Linked DNA regions of Canis lupus familiaris. The protein of the gene in region 1 purifies or fractionates together with the protein of each later gene. This does not show direct contact. Links are inferred from orthologs where the notes say so. Each region holds a gene or a part of one and is shown on either strand. Other genes may lie near its edges. The genes, in order: FBXL17, ZBTB10, KLHL9, ZBTB18 and KBTBD7.

Region 1 (3,945 bases):
TAAATGTATAAATGCATATTTATATATTAAATATATATATTCATGTTAAAATGTATATATATTTATATATACATATGTATATATTTATTTACAGAAATGTGTATACTAATATATAAAAATATATTTATATCAAATGTATATATTCATATACATTTACATACAAAAATGTATAGATTTTATATAAAAATATATTTATGTATAAAATGTATGTTTAGGGATCCCTGGGTGGCGCAGCGGTTTGGCGCCTGCCTTTGGCCCAGGGCGCGATCCTGGAGACCCGGGATCGAATCCCACGTCGGGCTCCCGGTGCATGGAGCCTGCTTCTCCCTCTGCCTGTGTCTCTGCCTCTCTCTCTCTCTGTGACGGTCATAAATAAATAAAAAATTTAAAAAAAAAAAAAAATTTTAAAAAAAAAATAATAAAAAAAATAAATAAAATGTATGTTTATTTTTTTTTAAGGTTTTATTTATTCATGAGAAACACGGAGACAGAGGCAGAGACACAGGCAGAGGCAGAAGCAGGCTCCACGCAGGGAGCCGGATGTGGGACTCGATCCCGGGACCCCAGGATCACGCCCTGGGCCGAAGGCAGGCGTCAAACCACTGAGCCACCCAGGGATTCCCTAAAACGTATGTTTATAAATATATTTACATATAAATGTGTATATATATATGTGAATGTGTGTATTTATATATAAAAGTGTTTTTATGTATCTATAAATAAAACATGTTAATAAGTCACATGTTTATAAATAAGACATATTTATATATGAAATATACTTCTATGCAAAACATATTCATGTCTAAAACATACATGTGTACGTAACACACCCGCTCGTACATGCAGTGGACAGGAGTGGCCGCCGGGCCGAGCCGGGAGCCGGGAGCCGGGAGCCGCCGGGCTGCGGGGCGGGACCGAGGGAGGCCGCAGCCCGAGCTGCTGAGCGCGAGCGGCTCCCGAGGTCTCGGGCTTCCCACGACAGGCCCGAGCGTCCTCCCGAGCGTCCTCCCCAGCGGCCTGTCCCCCTCGGACTCCGGCTGCCGGGGTGGGGGGGTGGGGGGCACTGCGCTCAGGGGGCGGAGACCAGCGAGGGGGCGAGGGGGTGGGGTCACGGGGGTCGCGGGGATGGGGGGGTCACGGGGGTCTCGGGGATGGGGGGGGTCACGGGGGTCTCGGGGATGGGGGGTCACGGGGGTCTCGGGGATGGGGGGTCACGGGGGTCTCGGGGATGGGGGCTCACGGGGGCCGGAGGGTCACGGGGGTCTCGGGGATGGGGGGTCACGGGGGTCGGAGGGTCACGGGGGTCGCGGGGATGGGGGGTCACGGGGGTCTCGGGGATGGGGGGGTCACGGGGGTCTCGGGGATGGGGGGGTCACGGGGGTCTCGGGGATGGGGGCTCACGGGGGCCGGAGGGTCACGGGGATGGGGGGTCACGGGGGTCTCGGGGATGGGGGGGGTCACGGGGGTCGGAGGGTCACGGGGGTCTCGGGGATGGGGGGGTCACGGGGGTCAGGTAGTCACGGGGGTCTCGGGGATGGGGGGTCACGGGGGCCGGAGGGTCACGGGGGTCTCGGGGATGGGGGGGTCACGGGGGCCGGAGGGTCACGGGGGTCTCGGGGATGGGGGGTCACGGGGGCCGGAGGGTCACGGGGGTCTCGGGGATGGGGCGTCACGGGGGTCGGAGGGTCACGGGGGTCTCGGGGATGTGGGGGTCACGGGGGTCAGGGAGTCACGGGGGTCTCGGGAATAGAGGGGTCACGGGGGTCTCGGGGATGGGGGGGTCACGGAGGCCGGAGGGTCACGGGGGCCGGAGGGGCACGGGGATCTCGGGGATGGGGTCACGGGGGGCCGCGGGGTCACGGGGGCCAGGGCCGGGGCCGGGGCAGCCGTCGCCCGCGGCGCAGACCCACCTTGAGCAGGATGGACGGCGGCAGCTGGTTGATGTCCGGGGTTTCGGGGGGCGGATCCCTGTGACAGTCGCAGGGGTTCTCGGGGGGCTCCCGGCGGTCGGCGTCGCCGCAGTCGTGCTGCTGCTGCTGCTGCTGCTGCTGCTGGGCGGCCGAGGGGGCGGCGCCCCCCGCTCGCCCCGCGTCCCCGCCGGCCGCCGCGGGGGCCCCGGGGGGCGCGGGGGGCGCGGGGGCCTCGGGGGGCGCGGGGGCCGCGGGGCAGCAGGCGGCGTCGGGGGGCCGCGGCGGCGAGGCGCCCCCCCCCGCGGGCCCTCCGTGCGCCCCTGCGTGCGCCCCTCCGTGCCCGCCGCGCCCGCCGTGCCCGCCGCCGTGGCCGCCGCCGTGGCCCCCGCAGCGGGGCTGCTTGCAGGGCGTGCAGGCCGGGAGCCCGGCGCCCTTGCGCTTGCACACCATGTCGGCGGCCGGCGGCGGCCCGCGCAGGAGCCGCAGGGCGGCGGGCGGCCCGAGGAGGCGCACGGGCCCCACGCCCGCCAGGAGGAGGCCCGGGCCGCGGCGCTCCCAGGCGGCGGCGGCGGCCAGCCCCAGCTCGCGGCAGCGGGAGGCGGGCGACGCGGCGGCGGGGGCCAGCAGGAAGCGGCGGGCGGCGGCGGCGCAGTCCTCGGCGGAGGCCCGGGCCCGCGGCGGCGGCGGCGGCGGCGGCGGCGGCGGCTCCTCCTCCGGGCCGGCGGGGGCGGGCGCGCCGGGGCTGTGCACGATGAAGCAGAGCATGCAGGGCCCGCGGAAGAAGCAGTCCCGGCTGCGGGGCGGGCGCGGGCGCGGGCGGCGGCGGCGGCACCAGCTGCAGCAGCGCGGCCTCCTGCGGCTCGGGCGGCTTCGCGGCTCCCGGGACAGGAGGTGGCCCATATAGGAGGCCGCGCGGGGCGGCGGGCGGCGGGCGGCGGGGACGGGGACGGGGACGGGGACGGGGGCGGCCGGCGGGACGGGGCGGCGGGGCTCCGCGCACTCGCGCTCGGGCGCACACGCGACGGGGGGGGGCGGGGGGCCGGGGGGCTACATGCTGTGCCCCGGGGCCGGGGGGGCCGGGGGCCGGGGGCCGGGGGCGCGGCGGGGGGCCTGCGGCCGGGGACCGCTCCACGCCCGGCCCGGCGGCTCAGTCCGGCAGCGCGGCGGCGGCGGCGGCGGCGGCGGCGGCGGCGGGGGGGACGCGGGGTCCCGCTCGGACCATTTTAACTGCGGCTCCGCCGGCGGCGCGCGCGCCCGCGACACAGCTCGGAGCCGCAGGGGCGCGCGGCCCGCTCGGGGAGGGGGCGGGGCCGCTCGGGGAGGGGGCGGGGCCGCGGCGGGCGCGCGCGCGGAGGGGGCGGGGCCGCGGGAGGGGCGGGGCCGCGGGGGCCGCCGGGCGGGACCTGCCGGGAAGGAGCCGGGCGCGCGCCTGCCCCGCCGCCGGGACGGGAGGAGCGGCTTCCGAGCCGGCGCGGTGACATCCGTTCGCGCGGCCGCGCTGACGTCGGGAGGTGTGAGGTCAGGAGCCGCCATTGGCCGGGAGCCGCCGCGCTCCCCGCCCCCACCCACCCCCCCCCCCCCGCGCCGGGAGAGCGAGGTCCCCGAGGAGCCGGAAGCGGAGGGCGCGGGAGGCCGCCTCTGCCCTGGCTGCCAGGGGTGCCGGGGGGCGCCGAGGTGCGGGGGCCCTGGGTGCTGAGACCCCGAGGTGCGGAGACCCCTGGGTGCTGCGACCTTGGGTGCTGAGGCCCCCGGATGCTGAGACCCTGGGTGCTGAGGCCCCTGGATGCTGCAGCCCTGGGTGCTGAGGCCCCTGGATGCTGAGGCCCCTGGGTGCTGCAGCTCTGGGTGCCGGGGCCATGCTCTCAGGGAGGGGCTGATGGGTGGGGCCGCCCCTTCTCTGTTCCGCTTGGTCGTACCCTTGCTGTGGTGTCTGCTGACTCCTATTTCAGTGAAAGCACCTGTCGTGTTTCCAGGCCAAGCCCTAAGGCACGTTGTCAACTGGTTGAGTCCTCAGCCTTGCAGGCTGGGGGCTCCA
Region 2 (3,511 bases), on another chromosome or scaffold:
AGCTGTCATTGGGTGCCAAACACTGTAATTTGTAACACTTGACTTGGATTATCTGACTTGATTTTTTTAATCAAATCTGAACTATTTGGAAGCATATGAGGAAATTGAGGCACATGCTCACATAGCCAGTAACCTAATTCACCTTGCCTCTTAAAGCTTATTCCTATTCAGTACACTATTCTCTCGAGTGTGTGCTTGTTCTTGTGGCTGAAAACCATGTCTGATTTTGTGCCTTAATCGCGTTAAGCACGTAGTAGGTATTATAACTTGCAGATAGATAATTTTCTATTTAGTTGCATAAGAAACTACCAAGCAGGGAGTGGTTGATGATGGTTATAGTGTGGTTGTAAGTAACAGATTATTGTACATCTCCTTTTCAGATCTGGATGGTGCTCTACTCTCAGGGCCAGATTGTGATAGGAATGTGAATACAAATTTGTTGGCAGAAGCCGGCTCCAGTCAGGATGGAGGTGATGCTGGTATGTACAGTAGGATTTACAAAAGTACAGTAAGAGTACGTTTGAGAGGATTTGAAGATTGGGAAGTGATTGTGTACATGTTTAAGGACCTATTGCAGTTTCTCTCCCTTAAGGGAGAGTATTATATGAAAATACTTTGGATCCATGGTAGCTATGTTTATGATAAGACTTTGGAAACCTGGTAAATACAAATGGATGGGTGTTTCTTACTGTTTGGGAGAGCCATTTGTTTAGAGCATTTCAAATTCTTAAGTACCAAAAGTAATTAAGTTAATAGGGCTGGTGGCTTCCTGCTAGTATATACATAGGATGAAAATGGTAATTATCCAGTTGGCTGATTAACGTATTTTAATTGGCTTTGATGTAAAATAACAATATGGTAATCTAAAGAAAACGTTAATTCTATAGTAGTGATGTTTCTGTCAGTTGTACTTCGGGAGAAGTATCCTTCACATAGAGGCAGAGAATCCATAAATATTCCAGAGAACAAAGTAAGTATAAAGAAGGGGAAAAACTTTCTTTAGAGAAAAATGCCAAGCTAATAAATACATAATGACAGAAATGAAAAATACCCCACAGGAAATAATTCAAGATCATCCATGGAGGGACACCTGCGTGGCTCAGAGCATCTGCCTTCAGCTCAGGGAGTGATCCCGGAGTTCCGGGGTCGAGTCCCACATTGGGCTTCCTGCAGGGAGCCTGCTTCTCTGCCTATCTCTCTGTCTCTCTCATGAATAAATAAAAAATCTTTTAAAAAATCATCCATGGATATTAAGCCACTGTTGATCGGCTATCCCACAATGCAAAAGGCTGTTATAATAGTATATTCACATGGTTTCCCTATCATCCCAGATAACTTCAGTTAAACAAAGAGGAAAAGATTTCTTTATAATGAAAGCAGCAGAGATACCATGCCTCTACATGTAATGCACTAGCCAGCACAAAACATCACCTACATAGTTTACTTGCCAAAATGCATGGTCAATCTTGATGACTGACCAGAGTTCTAAAATGACTAAAGGGGCATTTGAGGGACACCCAGGTGGCTCCACGGTTGAGCGTCTTTTGGCTTAGGCCGTGATCCTGGAGTCCCAGGATCGAGTTCCCCATCAGGCTTCCTGCAAGGAGCCTGCTTCTCTCTCTGTCCCCCCCTTCTCTCTCTCTCACTCATGAATACATAAAATCTTTAAAAAGGGAGAGGGGGACATTTGAAGAACAGTTTGGAATTTGTGTAGTATGGGTTAAATAATAGTTTGACAATTTTAAATTTCGTGGATATGATAAAGTACTATGGTTATGTAGGAGAAGGTTCTAGAAAATAACTGCTATATTGAGAGGTAAAGTGATGAGTAAATAATACATAAAAAGTGTGTGTTCACAGAGAAAGTACATGTGTCAAAATTAACATTAGTCAAAGGCACACAAAAGGAATATGGATGTTCATTGATTCAACTTCTCATAGCATTGGAATTCCTTAAATTAATGGGCAGGGGGTGGCTAGAAGTACTCAGGCTTTCAGAAGCTTCTGAATATAATATGTATGCACTGACCAAAATTAAGCCCTAATTCTGAAGAAAAGAAATTGCCTTAAGGTGGTTTCTCCCAACTGTTGAAAAGAATTTACAAAAATTTTTGAAATGAGCAGTTACCAGAGGGGTTGAATTTTGAAGACTTTATCCTTGTACAAAAAATTGCTAATGGTATAAGTATTTTATATTTGGTTTAGAAATATGGTTGAAGAGTGGTCTTTGTGAGTTGTACAACAATAGATTATTTTTACCATAAGAATTTTTGTATCAGCTATAAAGAATGAGAACAATGAAGTAGGGGTAAAGATTTAATATTTTTATTGAAAACTCAATTACTTAAGAGCAAGAAAGCTAACAAGCAGTGGCGGGGCAGAGGGAGAAGCAGGCAGCTGAGCCGCAGGGAGCCAGATGTGGGGCTCAATCCCAGGACCCCAAGATCATGACCTGAACTGAAGGCAGATGCTTAACTGACTGAGCCACCCAGGCGCCCCATACTGATTAGTCTTAAGATTATGTGATTGTTTTGGGGGCAATGCAGAGCTCTCCTGTTCCAAAGCTGGGCTTCAGGGTGGTAGTCTCAAGTGATAGAATAATTAAAAGTAACTATTAAGAGAGAGTTCTGTTTTGAATATATTTGAAATACAGTATAAAAAAAGAAGTTTTGGGACACCTGAGTGGCTCAGTTTAAGTGTCTGCCTTTGGCTCAGGTCGCGAGATCCCGGGATCCTGGGATAGAAATCCACATCGGGCTTTTCTGCTCAGCGGGCAGCCTGCTTCTCCCTTTTCCTCTGCTTATGCTGTCCTCTCTCAAAATAAATAAAATCTTAAAAAAAAAGTTTCATGTGGCCTCCATGCACTATTAAATATTGACATTTATCTTACCAAATTTTTCTCTCCTCTGGTAGCATTTTAAATTTTAGTTTTTCTATTTAAGATGCCTGCAATTAGAGTATTATGATAGGATAATAAAGTATGAAGACGTTTCGGTTTTAGATTACAATGTAGAGATTTTTATCCAGCTATTTATAGTAAGCTGTTCTATCATAATATTGCATAGATATAATAAATTTTATGTCCTATATTGTTTTATTCTAATAAGAAATATCTTTATTACCATAATTACATTAAAATCACTTTTCTATTAGGTACTTCACATGATTTCAAGTATAGCTTGATGCCTGGCCCTTCAAGTGATTTCAAGTATGGACTGCTACCAGGTACTTCAAATGATTTCAAGTATGGATTGATACCAGGTGCTTCAAACGATTTCAAGTATGGATTATTGCCCGAATCTTGGCCAAAACAAGAAACTTGGGAAAATGGCAAGTATTAGTCAACTAAACATTGCAGAATTTTAAAATGATTTTTCACAATTAAAAGCTTCCATGTTCTGGGTCTTAAAAAAATTAAAATACTAGTAGTCCTACAATCCCTATTCTCAGGGACAGACAAACTTTTGATAGCAAGTTTTCTGTTTAATATATAATTGCTTTTGTGTTTGTG
Region 3 (4,101 bases), on another chromosome or scaffold:
TCTTGAATCCTGTCCTTAGGATTTATCTAAAAACAGGGGAAACTTCTGTGCTGAGATTTTAGTTTATTGGAGTCTATAAAACAATGACGTACAAAGTTTTTATTCAGGAACTAATAATGGGCAAAAGAAACTATAGTATGTGGAATCATCGGAAAGTCCTGTAGCCATCTAAAAATGTGAGTGGATAGGGATGCCTGGGTGGCTCCGTGGTTGAGCGTCTGCCTTCCGTCCAAGGCGTGATCCTGGAGAGCCGGGATCGAGTCCCACATCGGGCTCCCTGCGTGGAGCCTGCTTCTCTGTCTGTGTCTGTCTGTCTCTCTCTCTCGGCCTGTGTCTCTCATGAATAAATAAATAAAATCTTTAAAAAAAAATGTGAGTGGATAGAAGGGGAGGTGGGTGGCAGGTGGGGGTGACTGGGTGATGGGCACTGAGGGGGGCACCTGATGGGATGAGCACTGGGTGTTCTATATGTTGGCAAATTGAACACCAACAAAAAATAAATAAATAAAAATATAAATAAAATAAAATGAAATAAAAATAAAAATGTGAGTGGAGAACAATTACAACGGAATTGCACTGCACAGCCAAAACCCAGGCTATACTATTCATGTGCCGTGGTCACAATTTGGTATTTAGAGACCCATGATCCGTGTATTAAACGACTAGTAATTTGAATATGTGAACCAAAATGGTAACTGAGGTGTAGGATAAAAATCATAGCCCAAGTGCTTTATCGAGGAACAGTTTTAAGCATCTTGCCCCCAGGGCCGCCGCCTCTTCCCCGTTGCCTTCCCATCTATACAAAAGCCGCACGTCATCGTTATTCAAAAGGCAGAAGCCAGGAAGTGTAAATCTTTAAAAAAAAAAAAAAGTATGAACTTAGGAGGAGAGCTCAGGCGCCGTGAGAAGCTCGCAGCACACGCGCAGCACCACGCGGGCGCCCCTGGAGCCCCAGGCCGCGCCCGCTCCTCCGCGCGACCCCGCCCGGCCCCCCGCCCCGGCCCCCGCCCTCGGCGCCTCCCGCACCGCTGCTCCCCGCCCCCACGCGCCCGCCCGCTGACGGGGCCCGGCGGCGCGCAGGCGCAGTAGCCGCCGCGGCCGCTCCTAGCCCGGGGGATCCTGGGACCAAGCCTTTCCGGAAGGACCGGCTCGGCGTCCGGGGCAGAGCCCGCGTTCCAGGCCCAGGCCCGAGCCAGGCCCGCGGTCCAGGCCGTCGTCCCTGCACCGCCGCCGGCGTCCGCGGCGACGCTCCAGCGAGCGCGGAGGGCGCAGCGGGCCGCGCGCTGAGGTGGGCCGGCCTCGCCGCGTCGCCGGCCGCAGTACGTGGCGGCGCCTCCCCCTTGGCCGGGAGCGGAACTGCTGGAGGAGCGGCGGCGCAGGCCGGACCGGGCGAACCGGGTCGCTTCACTGCCTTCAGGTGATGAATCGTCCGCAGAGCAATCAGATTTGAGGTCCGCAGCCCTCCGTGGCCCTGCCCGCCACCAGTTTTGAGCGGATGACCGGCGGGTGTGTTGGCGGGGTGCCGCGGTGACCGCTCGCCCTTGATCAAGGAAAGCGAGCCCTCCTGCTCGGGGCGTGCGCGGCTCGTCTCCTTGAGAGCTTTCAGGCCACAGCCTCGTTCCCCGGGGGGCCCGGGTCTCCGCGGGAGGAAGGCTTTCCCATGAAAGTGTCCCTCGGCACCGGCGAAATGGGCGTCTCCGCCCACCTACAGCCCTGCAAGGCAGGAACCACGCGTTTTTTTACCAGCAACACTCACAGTTCGGTGGTGCTGCAAGGCTTCGACCAGCTCAGAGTAGAAGGCTTGCTTTGTGATGTGACCCTGGTCCCGGGCGACGGAGATGAAATCTTCCCCGTTCACAGAGCTATGATGGCGTCCGCTAGTGATTACTTCAAGGCAATGTTCACAGGCGGAATGAAAGAACAGGATCTGATGTGCATTAAGCTGCATGGGGTGAACAAGGTTGGGCTGAAGAAAATAATTGATTTCATTTATACTGCAAAACTTTCTCTCAATATGGACAATCTTCAGGACACCCTTGAAGCTGCCAGCTTCTTACAGATTTTGCCCGTCTTGGACTTCTGTAAGGTGTTCCTTATTTCGGGAGTCTCTTTAGACAACTGTGTTGAAGTTGGGCGGATTGCTAACACCTACAATCTGATCGAAGTGGATAAGTACGTCAATAATTTCATCCTGAAGAATTTTCCTGCATTGCTGAGTACCGGGGAGTTTCTAAAACTCCCCTTTGAACGGCTTGCCTTTGTGCTTTCTAGTAACAGCCTTAAGCACTGCACTGAACTTGAGCTCTTCAAGGCCGCCTGTCGCTGGCTAAGATTGGAAGACCCTCGGATGGATTATGCTGCAAAATTAATGAAGAACATTCGATTTCCATTGATGACACCCCAGGATCTCATCAATTACGTGCAGACAGTAGATTTCATGAGAACAGACAATACTTGTGTGAATTTGCTTTTGGAAGCTAGCAATTACCAAATGATGCCATATATGCAGCCAGTGATGCAGTCAGATAGAACTGCCATTCGATCTGACTCGACACACTTGGTCACATTAGGAGGAGTTTTGAGGCAGCAGCTGGTTGTCAGCAAAGAATTACGGATGTATGACGAAAGGGCACAAGAGTGGAGATCTCTTGCCCCCATGGATGCTCCTCGTTACCAGCATGGTATTGCTGTCATTGGAAACTTTCTTTATGTAGTTGGTGGTCAAAGTAATTATGATACGAAAGGGAAAACTGCTGTTGATACAGTTTTCAGGTTTGATCCTCGGTACAACAAATGGATGCAGGTTGCATCGTTAAATGAAAAGCGCACGTTTTTCCACTTGAGTGCCCTTAAAGGACATTTATATGCTGTTGGTGGGCGAAGTGCGGCTGGTGAACTGGCCACAGTAGAATGTTACAACCCAAGGATGAATGAGTGGAGCTATGTTGCAAAAATGAGCGAGCCCCACTATGGCCATGCTGGAACAGTGTACGGAGGCTTGATGTATATTTCAGGAGGAATTACTCATGACACTTTCCAAAACGAGCTCATGTGTTTTGACCCAGATACAGACAAATGGACACAGAAGGCTCCAATGACTACAGTCCGAGGTCTGCACTGCATGTGTACAGTTGGAGACAAGCTCTATGTCATTGGTGGCAATCACTTCAGAGGAACAAGTGATTATGATGATGTTCTAAGCTGTGAATACTATTCACCAACCCTTGACCAGTGGACACCAATTGCTGCTATGTTAAGAGGTCAGAGTGATGTTGGAGTTGCTGTCTTTGAAAATAAAATCTATGTTGTGGGTGGATATTCCTGGAATAATCGTTGTATGGTAGAAATTGTCCAGAAATATGACCCAGAAAAGGATGAATGGCATAAAGTTTTTGACCTTCCAGAGTCACTTGGTGGGATTCGAGCTTGTACTCTCACAGTTTTTCCACCCGAGGAAAACCCTGGGTCACCTTCTAGAGAATCCCCTCTTTCAGCACCTTCAGACCATTCTTAGGACTAAAATGTAGTACCTTTGCAGTGCATCATGGATGATCTCACACTTCCCCTTAAATTGTATCTTCTTAAAGTGATTGGTGCAGTTATTAGGTTAAATGGTAACTGATGTTATTTGTATTGCTTGGCTCAGTGTGTTTATCCGTATGGTTAACAAATGCATTCTGAAAATGTATTTAACATAGCCAGCTGTTTTAACAAATGTAAAAAAGATATGTAGAAAAATGTTTTAGATGTCTTTGTGGTGTTGTGTAAGTCAAATTGTAGGTGATTGTAGTAAATGTGTAATTATGTTCGTTTATGCTTCAAAGCTGCAAGTTTTCATCTTTCACTTCAGAACATCGAAGGGAGGCTGCTTGCTCTGACCTAAAATAGTAAAAGGTCGCCAAATATCACCTACCTTCCCTTTTTTCATAATAGTTTTTGACATCGTTGACAATTCACCAGATCGAGTGCATTCAGAATATGTGAAGTTTCCTAGATAGGAGAAATAAACAGCGTACAAAACCCTAAGTCAGGATTTTGTATCTCTGGAGAGAGGGAAAGGGAGAGAGGAAATATAGGTATGTATGCACATAAACACATCCG
Region 4 (4,290 bases), on another chromosome or scaffold:
CAAGTGATCTCAAAAAGCAACATCTCAAAGCCTTTCTTAACATTTCAAAACTTGAAATATTTCTGTGTATTAAAGTTATTTACTTGCTCGAGCAAAAGGGATAAAAATTAAAACTACACAAGCCCAAGACTTTCAACTCCAATAAGATGTTCATTTAATACTCGGTTTCATATATTATTCCTAAACTGGGTTAGAAAAGTAATGTGATTTTTTTAATTAAATCAACAAAACACCAAAACAGAAATATGCTCAATCTAATCTCTTGCTACTCCTACCTTTAGGACACATAAACCTGATTAAGTCCTTTCCTCTGGGTCTCGCTGGCTCCAGGTCTGTTACATCGGTGGAAAAAAAGCGGACTAAGAGAGACAGATGCAAAGTGGAGATGATGTTAGAGAGGAATAAGATACCTTCTCCACCACAGATCCGCACACACTAACTCCCTGTCTGTGTGTTAGAATAAAAGGCTGAGGGATGGCAGGCTGTCAGCTGCTCTGACATCATGTTCAGATGGAAATGCTACCTCCAGCTGTGCTCCTTTTAATGCCATATGCTACTCCTCTACACTCCTGCCACCAGCTTTTTCTTAGGAGAACTTTTCTCTTCTGTTAGTATAAACAAAATACTTCAAAGTCTCCCTTTTTTTCCAAACTTTCTAACAGAAAGAAATTGAAAAACTCAGCATATGGAGTTCTACTGTATTTATGGAATAGCAACACTTCTGTCTTAAGTTGGTGGACTGGCTCACATACTGACAGCACACTCAAGCCACGGTGCTATTCAGGAAATCCAGATTCACTTTTATTCAACTCCAACGTTTAGTTTCAAAGGCAGCTTAGGGATATTTTTAAACCAACCCAATTGACATCTCCAGTCCCATTTCAACATTATTACGGTACTTTCATTTTTTTTTTTTTTCCTGCCAAGATAATGGCATACATGTCTCAATGCTGGGAGACTATACAGAACTATTACTACAGCCGGGTTCACCTTATTATTTCCCTCTTAATTTTAACTATTTGTGTCCTACAACCTACTCAATAAAATTTCTACATTGCCACTACATGCAAATTTCAACTCTCACTATCAACAAGGTGAAACTGCACTTTCTGAAATCCTGGAAAGTACTTCAGTTCAATGAGACAAATTAATAAACTGATACAACCTGCTACGGCCGCTTAAAATGAACACTGCACCTGCATATCTGATCTGACTCTCCGCTCAGGGGAGAAAAAAAAAATTAAAAAAAAAAAAAAAGCAGAACTTTGTCTTCCCCTTGATCTGTGTCCCATAACAATCTTTTTTTGGGTCACTCTGTGATGTTTCGTGATCACAAGAAAACCTTTCAGCTTTCAGTAAGAAGGGGGGGGGGCAAGTCTAGTAAGTTTGGGAACTTTTCAGCTCGACTTTGTGGGTCTTTTTCTAATGGCTGATGAAATCATAACGTAACCCGGGCTGGGCTGCCCCGTGCCCTGCAAGGTGCTGCGACATCTGTGAATGTCAAAGCCATCCCCACGGGCTCGGGAGGGCGAGGCGCAGCGCAGGCCCGAGGCGCGAGCGTCGCAGCCCTGCTGGTCACCGCCCGGTCCTCACCCGAACACCGCGGCACAGTTAACCAGTAACAAACACCGGCGTCTCCGTCCAGTCTCCCTCGCTCTGCCAAAGTCACAGACCGAACTTTCTCTAACTTCGCGGTGAATGACAGGATGACGAACGCCTATTGCGGGAGGCACTCTTCGGGAGCCACATTCCTTCCCAGCCACACAACCTATTCTCCACAAATGCCCTCGCCCCATTCCAACGTATCAGACATTAATCACCCCATTTACCCGGTGGGGTGGGGGGTGAGTGACAGTTTAATGAGTCCCAAGCACCGCAATGGGCCAGCGACTCCCACCCCACAAATCAACCCCTTCGCAGTCCTGCTACCGCGGGGTCCAGGGACGGACTGTGAGGCTGGGCTTCTGTTTCTCCCGAGGGGTGGGGGCGAGGGTGCGGAGTGGGGCCGGGGGTGGGGTGGGTAAGAAATGCAAATCTCCACGTAGTTCGCCGTGCATAAAACACACGGGGAAAGAGGAAGGTTAAACCACAGGGAAGGAGGTGGAGGGCGGAGAGCCGGTGCAGCAGGAAAACACCTTCCACAGCAGACGAGAAAACAGACCCGGGTCACGGCAACAACAAAAGAAAAGTCGTAAGAAGCAGCCCGCGGGAGGAGGGTGGCTGCTACCGCTTCCCCGACGCCGCGGCGCGCGAGCCCCCGGGGCCTCCCGGCAACTGCACCAGCCCGGGAGGGGCCCCTCCCCCGCCGGCCCCCTCCCCCCCGGGCGCCACTGCAGCTGCACCGGTCCCCGGAGCCGCGGCCGTCCCGGGCGCCGCTGCAGCTGCGGCGGCTCCCAAGCCCCCCTCCCCCAGCCCGCCGCCCTCCGCACCCGGGAGGCGCCGCCGCAGCTGCACGGGCCGGGAGCCCGCCCCGCGCCGCAGCTGCACCGGCCGCGGGGAGGGGGGCGGGGGGCGCGGCGCGGAGCCGGCGAGCCCGCACCCCGCCCGACCCCGCAGCTGCGGCGGCCCCGTCCCCGCGCCCGGCCTCCCGCAGCTGCGCCGCCCCCCGCCGCCCCAACCGCTCCGAGCACACAAACTAAACTCCACTCGCGGGGGCGCCCCCGGCCCGGCCCGGCCCGCCCTCCGCCCGCCCCGGCCCGGCCCGGGCCGCACAGCTGGCGCCCCCCGCCCGCCAGGGGGGCCGGGCGCGGAGGGGGCGCCGGGTCAGGGGCCGGGGCGGGCGCCGGCACTCACACGGAGCGGCCCTAAGTCACCGCGTCCCCGCCGCCGCCGCCGCCGCCGCCGCCGCCGCCGCCGCGTCCTCCGCCTCCTCCTCCTCTTCCTCCCGGCCGCCGCCGCCGCCGCCGCCGCCGGACTTGGTGGGCTTCCTCCTCCTCTGGCCCCCCTCCCTCCCGGCCCCCCCGCCCCCCAATCCCGGCTCCGTCGCCCGCTCCCCCTGCCCCCTCCCTCCCTCCCACCCACCCCCGCTGGCAGCCGGAGGAGCGCGGCGGAGCGAAGAGGGCCCCACTCTCAACGGCTCCCCATGGCAGCAGCCCAGCGGCGGCCGCAGCCTGCCAGACACAGCGAGGGAGCGAGCGAGGGAGCGAGTGCGGAGCCGCCGGCCGGGAGGGGGGGCGGGGAGGGGGGGCGGGCGGGGGAGGGGGAGGGGAGGGGGCGGGAGGACGCACCACGCACGCACGCGGCGGCGCCGGCCAGATGTTCCCCCCCGCCCGGCCTCGGCCCGCCCCTCTCCTCCCCCTGCCTCCCTCCCTCCCGGCGTTGGGCCCCTGCGATTGACCGTAAGCGGCTGGGCCGGCGCTCCCCGCCCGCCCCCAGCGCGCGGCCTCCTCCAATGGGAGGGCGGCCTCGCGGGAGGGCGGGGGGAGTGGCGGGCGACCGTCGGACTGACAGGAGGGCGCAGCCAATGGGCGAGGCGGGCCGGAGCTGCCGCTCGCGCGAGCCAATCGCGGGCAGGAGCTGTTGCGGTGGGCGGGGCCCGGGCGGGCGGGGGGCCGGTAGCGAGGCGGCGCGGGGCGGAGTCCTCGGGCGCAGCGGCGGCGGCGGCAGCGGCGCCCCTCTGGGTGACTTGGCCGTGAGAAAGTGAAAGGAGCCCGCAGGCGGCAGCGACAGCTGCGCTGGGAGGGGCCTGTCTCCGGGCTCCGGGGCCTCGCGCGCCCCGGGGGGGTGCGGCGCGACCTTCTCGGGGCGCACCGTGACCACCAGAAACACACTTTTAAAAGCGCTGGGGCCGGCGTGCGCCGAGTTGCGCAGGTATCCTCGGGAGGCAGGGCGCGCGGGGACGCGGGGGACGCGGCGCAGTCGTGGCCCGCCCGAGCGCGGGGAGCGGAACCGAGCGGCGCCCGCGCTCCGTCCCGCCCCCCCGCCCCCCCGCCCCCCGGTGCAGGTCGGGGCGCCGCGGCCGCGGGCTCCGGGAGGCCAGTCGGGGCGTCGCTCCCCGGACGAGGTCTGGCTCCGGGAGACACGCCTGCGGCCCCCGCGGCCCCGGGGCACTCGCCCTCTCACCAGCACACACTCCCAAGCGACCAAATTCTAGAGAACTCCGGTAAAATTGGTAGTTGTGGAAGCCGTAGCCGGATTCCTTAATTGGTACGTATCAAGCCACAGCGTTCAGCCACCGAGGGAAGATGTGAGACAGACTGCGGTGCCGCTGTCCCCTCCCTCCAGAGGAACTTTTATCTGATCCTGCCTCTTGGCTATGAAAGTGGGTCCATCACGGCAACGGAGAAATGT
Region 5 (4,074 bases), on another chromosome or scaffold:
TTGGCCCAGGGCCTGATCCTGGAGACCCAGGATTGAGTCCTACATTGGGCTTCCTGCATGGAGCCTGCTTCTCTCTGTGTGTGTGTGTCTCATGAATAAATAAAATCTTAAAAAAAAAAACAAAAACAAAAAAAAAAAAACTGGGGCATGCATGAATACAGAGCTCTGAGGTCTGTTTGTTTAAATCTTTTAATCTACAACTCCCGTTTTTATCTCCTTGATAAAGATAACTACATAATCTTAGGCTGATTTGTGGAGAGGAAGGGAAACGAGCAGTATTAGACCAAAACATTCCTGCTAAAAGGTTACGAAAGGGCTTCTGGGTGGCTCAGCCGGTTAGGCGCCTGCCCGGGGTCCTGGGATCCGGCCCTATCAGCAGGGAGCCTGTAATCTCCCTCCCCCTCTGCCTGTCACTCCCCTGCTTGTGCATTCTCTCTCTAATAAGTAAATAAAAATCTTAATTTAAAAAAAAAGAAAAAAAAGCTTATGAAAGTAATCCTGCTCCCCCTGCGTAAATATTGATTTGGTGAGAGGTCAGCCCAGCTATGCATGTGCCTGAGCTGCCTGTTAGAGGCCTGAGCTGTATGTCAGAGGCCTGAGCCGCACGTCGGAGGCCTGAGCCGCACGTCGGAGGCCACCTCTCAACGCTGTTCGCCAGGACCTCATCCTTGTCCACGACACCCTAACGAACCTGTGGATCTCATTTAGTTCTGAAAAGATGGTGGTAGCCTTCAGAAGAACCCTTCAAAAGAAGCAACAGTAAAATTAAGATTCCTCACACAAATCGCTCACGGCTTCGCACGCGGGCACATTTTTAAAAACGCATTGGGAGACGCCACCAGTGGCTGAATCTGTATATTCCAGGCACTTGCAAGCATGTGATTAATCAGCAGGTATTCGCTGAAGCATCCTGGGACCTGCGCAAATCCACCTCGCTCCCACTCTCACATAATCCTATGAAAACTCGTATCCCCCGCTTTACAAAGAGGGGAAAGTTCTCAGAGAGAAGACCAATACCAAAACGGAGATTTTTTTTTTTTTTAAATAAAAAAGAACATCAAAGCCAAAGCTCTAAAACCAACAAACCCAGATTAACGCTTTTTCGAATTCTGTCAGCTAAAAGTCCGCCCGCCCGGAGAAACCTCGCGATATTCCTCGAACTACCACTCCCAGCGTGCACAGCGGCTCCGGCCCGCCCGCCGATCCCCTGGAGTCTGGAGGGGCCCCGGCATGCCTCGGGGCGCGAAAGGCAGCCTGGGAGCCGTAGTTCCGCTGGACGCCTACCGGTATTGCCAGCGCGGCAGTGGCGGCTCTCTCGGTTCCGTCCAGCCGGGTTCTGTAAGGCGAGCTGAGGCGGAGAAAAGGGCGCGGAACTGGAAGCGGGTGAGTCAGGCGCTGGCTACGCGATAAAGGGAGGCGGCACCGCGGCGCGGGGCTGAGTTGGGTAAGTGCGGCCCCTGCAGTCTCTTCAGGGAGAAGGCGAGGAGAGGGCGAGGAGGAGCCCGCGCCCGGTCCGTGCACCCGTTCTCGCCCTCGTACCCCGCCGCCATCTCCACCATGCAGTCCCGGGAAGAGGCTCCGCGCCCCCGCCGCCTGGCCAGTCCCCGCGGCGGCAGGCGGCCCAAGAGGATCTCCAAGCCCTCGGTCTCGGCTTTCTTCACGGGCCCGGAGGAGCTGAAGGACGCGGCTCACTCCGCAGCCCTCCTGGCGCAGCTCAAGTCCTTCTACGACGCGCGGCTGCTGTGCGACGTGACCATCGAGGTGGTGACGCCCGGCAGCGGGCCCGGCACCGGCCGCCTCTTCCCCTGCAACCGGAACGTGCTGGCGGCCGCGTGTCCCTACTTCAAGAGCATGTTCACGGGCGGCATGTACGAGAGCCACCAGGCGAACGTGACCATGCACGACGTGGACGCCGAGTCCTTCGAGGTGCTGGTCGACTACTGCTACACGGGCCGCGTGTCGCTGAGCGAGGCCAACGTGCAGCGCCTGTACGCGGCCTCCGACATGCTGCAGCTCGAGTACGTGCGGGAGGCCTGCGCCTCCTTCCTGGCCCGCCGCCTCGACCTGGCCAACTGCACCGCCATCCTCAAGTTCGCCGACGCCTTCGACCATCATAAGCTGCGATCCCAGGCCCAGTCCTTCATAGCCCACAATTTCAGGCAGCTCAGCCGGATGGGCTCAGTAAGGGAGGAGAGCCTGGCGGATCTGAGCTTGGCCCAGCTGCTGTCCATCCTGCGCCTGGATAGTCTAGACATCGAGAGCGAGCGGACCGTGTGTCACGTGGCCGTGCAGTGGCTGGAGGCGGCTCCCAAGGAGCGCGGACCCAGCGCTGCGGAAGTCTTCAAGTGTGTCCGCTGGACACACTTCAGAGAAGAGGATCAGGATTACCTGGAGGGGCTGCTGACCAAGCCCATTGTGAAAAAGTACTGTCTGGACCTTATCGAGGGGGCCCTGCAGATGCGCTATGGTGACAAGCTGTGCAAGGCTCTGGTGCCCAAACCAGATAGCAGCAGCAGCTGTGTTGTGCCCACAGCAGAAAACCCACCCCAGAGGCTGGGTATGTGTGCCAAGGAGATGGTGATCTTCTTTGGACATCCCCGAGATCCCTTTCTGTGCTACGACCCATACTCAGGGGACATTTACACCATGCCATCCCCTTTAACCAGCTTGGCTCACACCAAGACTGTCACTTCCTCAGCTGTCTGCGTCTCTCCAGACCATGACATCTACCTGGCCGCGCAGCCCAGGAAGGACCTCTGGGTGTACAAGCCAGCCCAGAATAGTTGGCAGCAGCTGGCCGACCGCCTGCTGTGCCGGGAGGGCATGGATGTGGCCTACCTCAATGGCTACATCTACATTTTGGGTGGGCGAGACCCCATTACCGGTGTTAAACTGAAGGAAGTGGAGTGCTACAGTGTCCAGAGAAACCAGTGGGCACTGGTGGCTCCTGTACCCCATTCCTTCTATTCGTTTGAACTAATAGTGGTTCAGAACTATCTTTATGCTGTGAACAGTAAGCGCATGCTCTACTATGACCCGGGCCACAATACATGGCTGAACTGTGCTTCTCTTAAACGTAGTGACTTTCAGGAAGCCTGTGTCTTCAATGATGAGATCTACTGTATCTGCGACATCCCGGTCATGAAGGTCTACAACCCAGCCAGGGGAGAATGGAGGCGGATTAGTAATATCCCCTTGGACTCAGAGACCCACAACTACCAGATTGTCAATCATGGCCAAAAGTTGCTCCTCATTACTTCTACCACCCCTCAGTGGAAAAAAAACCGGGTGACTGTTTATGAATACGATACTAGGGAAGACCAGTGGATTAATATAGGTACCATGTTAGGTCTTTTGCAGTTTGACTCTGGCTTTATTTGCCTCTGTGCTCGTGTTTATCCTTCCTGCCTTGAACCTGGACAGAGTTTTATCACTGAGGAAGATGATGCACGGAGTGAGTCTAGTACTGAATGGGACTTAGATGGATTCAGTGAGCTGGACTCGGAGTCAGGAAGTTCAAGTTCTTTTTCCGATGATGAAGTCTGGGTGCAGGTGGCACCTCAGGGAAATGCACAGGATCATCAGGGTTCTTTGTAAATATTTTGAAGCACTAAGATGTTTCTACTTCTATGGAATGTATCTTTAAAAGATATCCCTTCCTTTTCATGAAAAAAAAAATGTTGATTAGGACTGCAGATTTGGTTTAGAAAGGGTAACATTTGAATTACTAATGTAATGTTACAAAGTTAAACAGTCCATGAAATCAACCTATATGATAATTTATTATGCTAAAAGTCAAGATTAAAATATGCAAAAACAAACTATGTAACTGATTAGAATGCTTGGTGGTTTCTTGGTTGTTCGAGTATTTGTTGCACCAGTGGATTGTTTTGGTTAGTTTACACTGTTTATATTTTGATTATCTACGTTTGTCTTCTGTTAACGTTTTAATTCAACTTAGTGCCACAAGGAATTTAACTTTTTAATTTTTATAGTAGAAAATTGAACTAGAAATTGTTGGTAGGGTTTTGAAGGTTGTATTTTCTTTTAGAATAATGAAAGTAGTAGATTTCC

What was found.
Region 2: the proteins of FBXL17 (region 1) and ZBTB10 purify together in Homo sapiens (affinity purification with western blotting; 3 studies listed by BioGRID and IntAct, with this or other methods). This does not show direct contact. The link is inferred for Canis lupus familiaris from reciprocal best matches to the Homo sapiens genes FBXL17 and ZBTB10.
Region 3: the proteins of FBXL17 (region 1) and KLHL9 purify together in Homo sapiens (co-immunoprecipitation; 3 studies listed by BioGRID and IntAct, with this or other methods). This does not show direct contact. The link is inferred for Canis lupus familiaris from reciprocal best matches to the Homo sapiens genes FBXL17 and KLHL9.
Region 4: the proteins of FBXL17 (region 1) and ZBTB18 purify together in Homo sapiens (co-immunoprecipitation; 3 studies listed by BioGRID and IntAct, with this or other methods). This does not show direct contact. The link is inferred for Canis lupus familiaris from reciprocal best matches to the Homo sapiens genes FBXL17 and ZBTB18.
Region 5: the proteins of FBXL17 (region 1) and KBTBD7 purify together in Homo sapiens (co-immunoprecipitation; 3 studies listed by BioGRID and IntAct, counting the BioPlex papers as one, with this or other methods). This does not show direct contact. The link is inferred for Canis lupus familiaris from reciprocal best matches to the Homo sapiens genes FBXL17 and KBTBD7.

Annotation. Positions count from the first base shown.
Region 1 is NC_049224.1:3,599,361-3,603,305, reverse strand, and holds the start of FBXL17 (F-box/LRR-repeat protein 17), read right to left. Parts: upstream 2,811-3,945; coding exon 1,911-2,810; intron 1-1,910. UniProt on the Homo sapiens protein: Substrate-recognition component of the SCF(FBXL17) E3 ubiquitin ligase complex, a key component of a quality control pathway required to ensure functional dimerization of BTB domain-containing proteins (dimerization quality control, DQC).
Region 2 is NC_049250.1:28,339,751-28,343,261, forward strand, and holds part of ZBTB10 (zinc finger and BTB domain-containing protein 10), read left to right. Parts: intron 1-380; coding exon 381-479; intron 480-3,153; coding exon 3,154-3,330; intron 3,331-3,511. UniProt on the Homo sapiens protein: May be involved in transcriptional regulation.
Region 3 is NC_049232.1:40,905,417-40,909,517, forward strand, and holds the start of KLHL9 (kelch-like protein 9), read left to right. Parts: upstream 1-1,298; 5' UTR 1,299-1,660; coding exon 1,661-3,514; 3' UTR 3,515-4,101.
Region 4 is NC_049228.1:35,066,794-35,071,083, reverse strand, and holds the start of ZBTB18 (zinc finger and BTB domain-containing protein 18), read right to left. Parts: upstream 2,811-4,290; 5' UTR 2,794-2,810; intron 1,974-2,793; exon of another isoform or gene 1,594-1,973; intron 360-1,593; 5' UTR 289-359; coding exon 276-288; intron 1-275.
Region 5 is NC_049243.1:9,372,724-9,376,797, forward strand, and holds the start of KBTBD7 (kelch repeat and BTB domain-containing protein 7), read left to right. Parts: upstream 1-1,274; 5' UTR 1,275-1,557; coding exon 1,558-3,597; 3' UTR 3,598-4,074. UniProt on the Homo sapiens protein: As part of the CUL3(KBTBD6/7) E3 ubiquitin ligase complex functions as a substrate adapter for the RAC1 guanine exchange factor (GEF) TIAM1, mediating its 'Lys-48' ubiquitination and proteasomal degradation.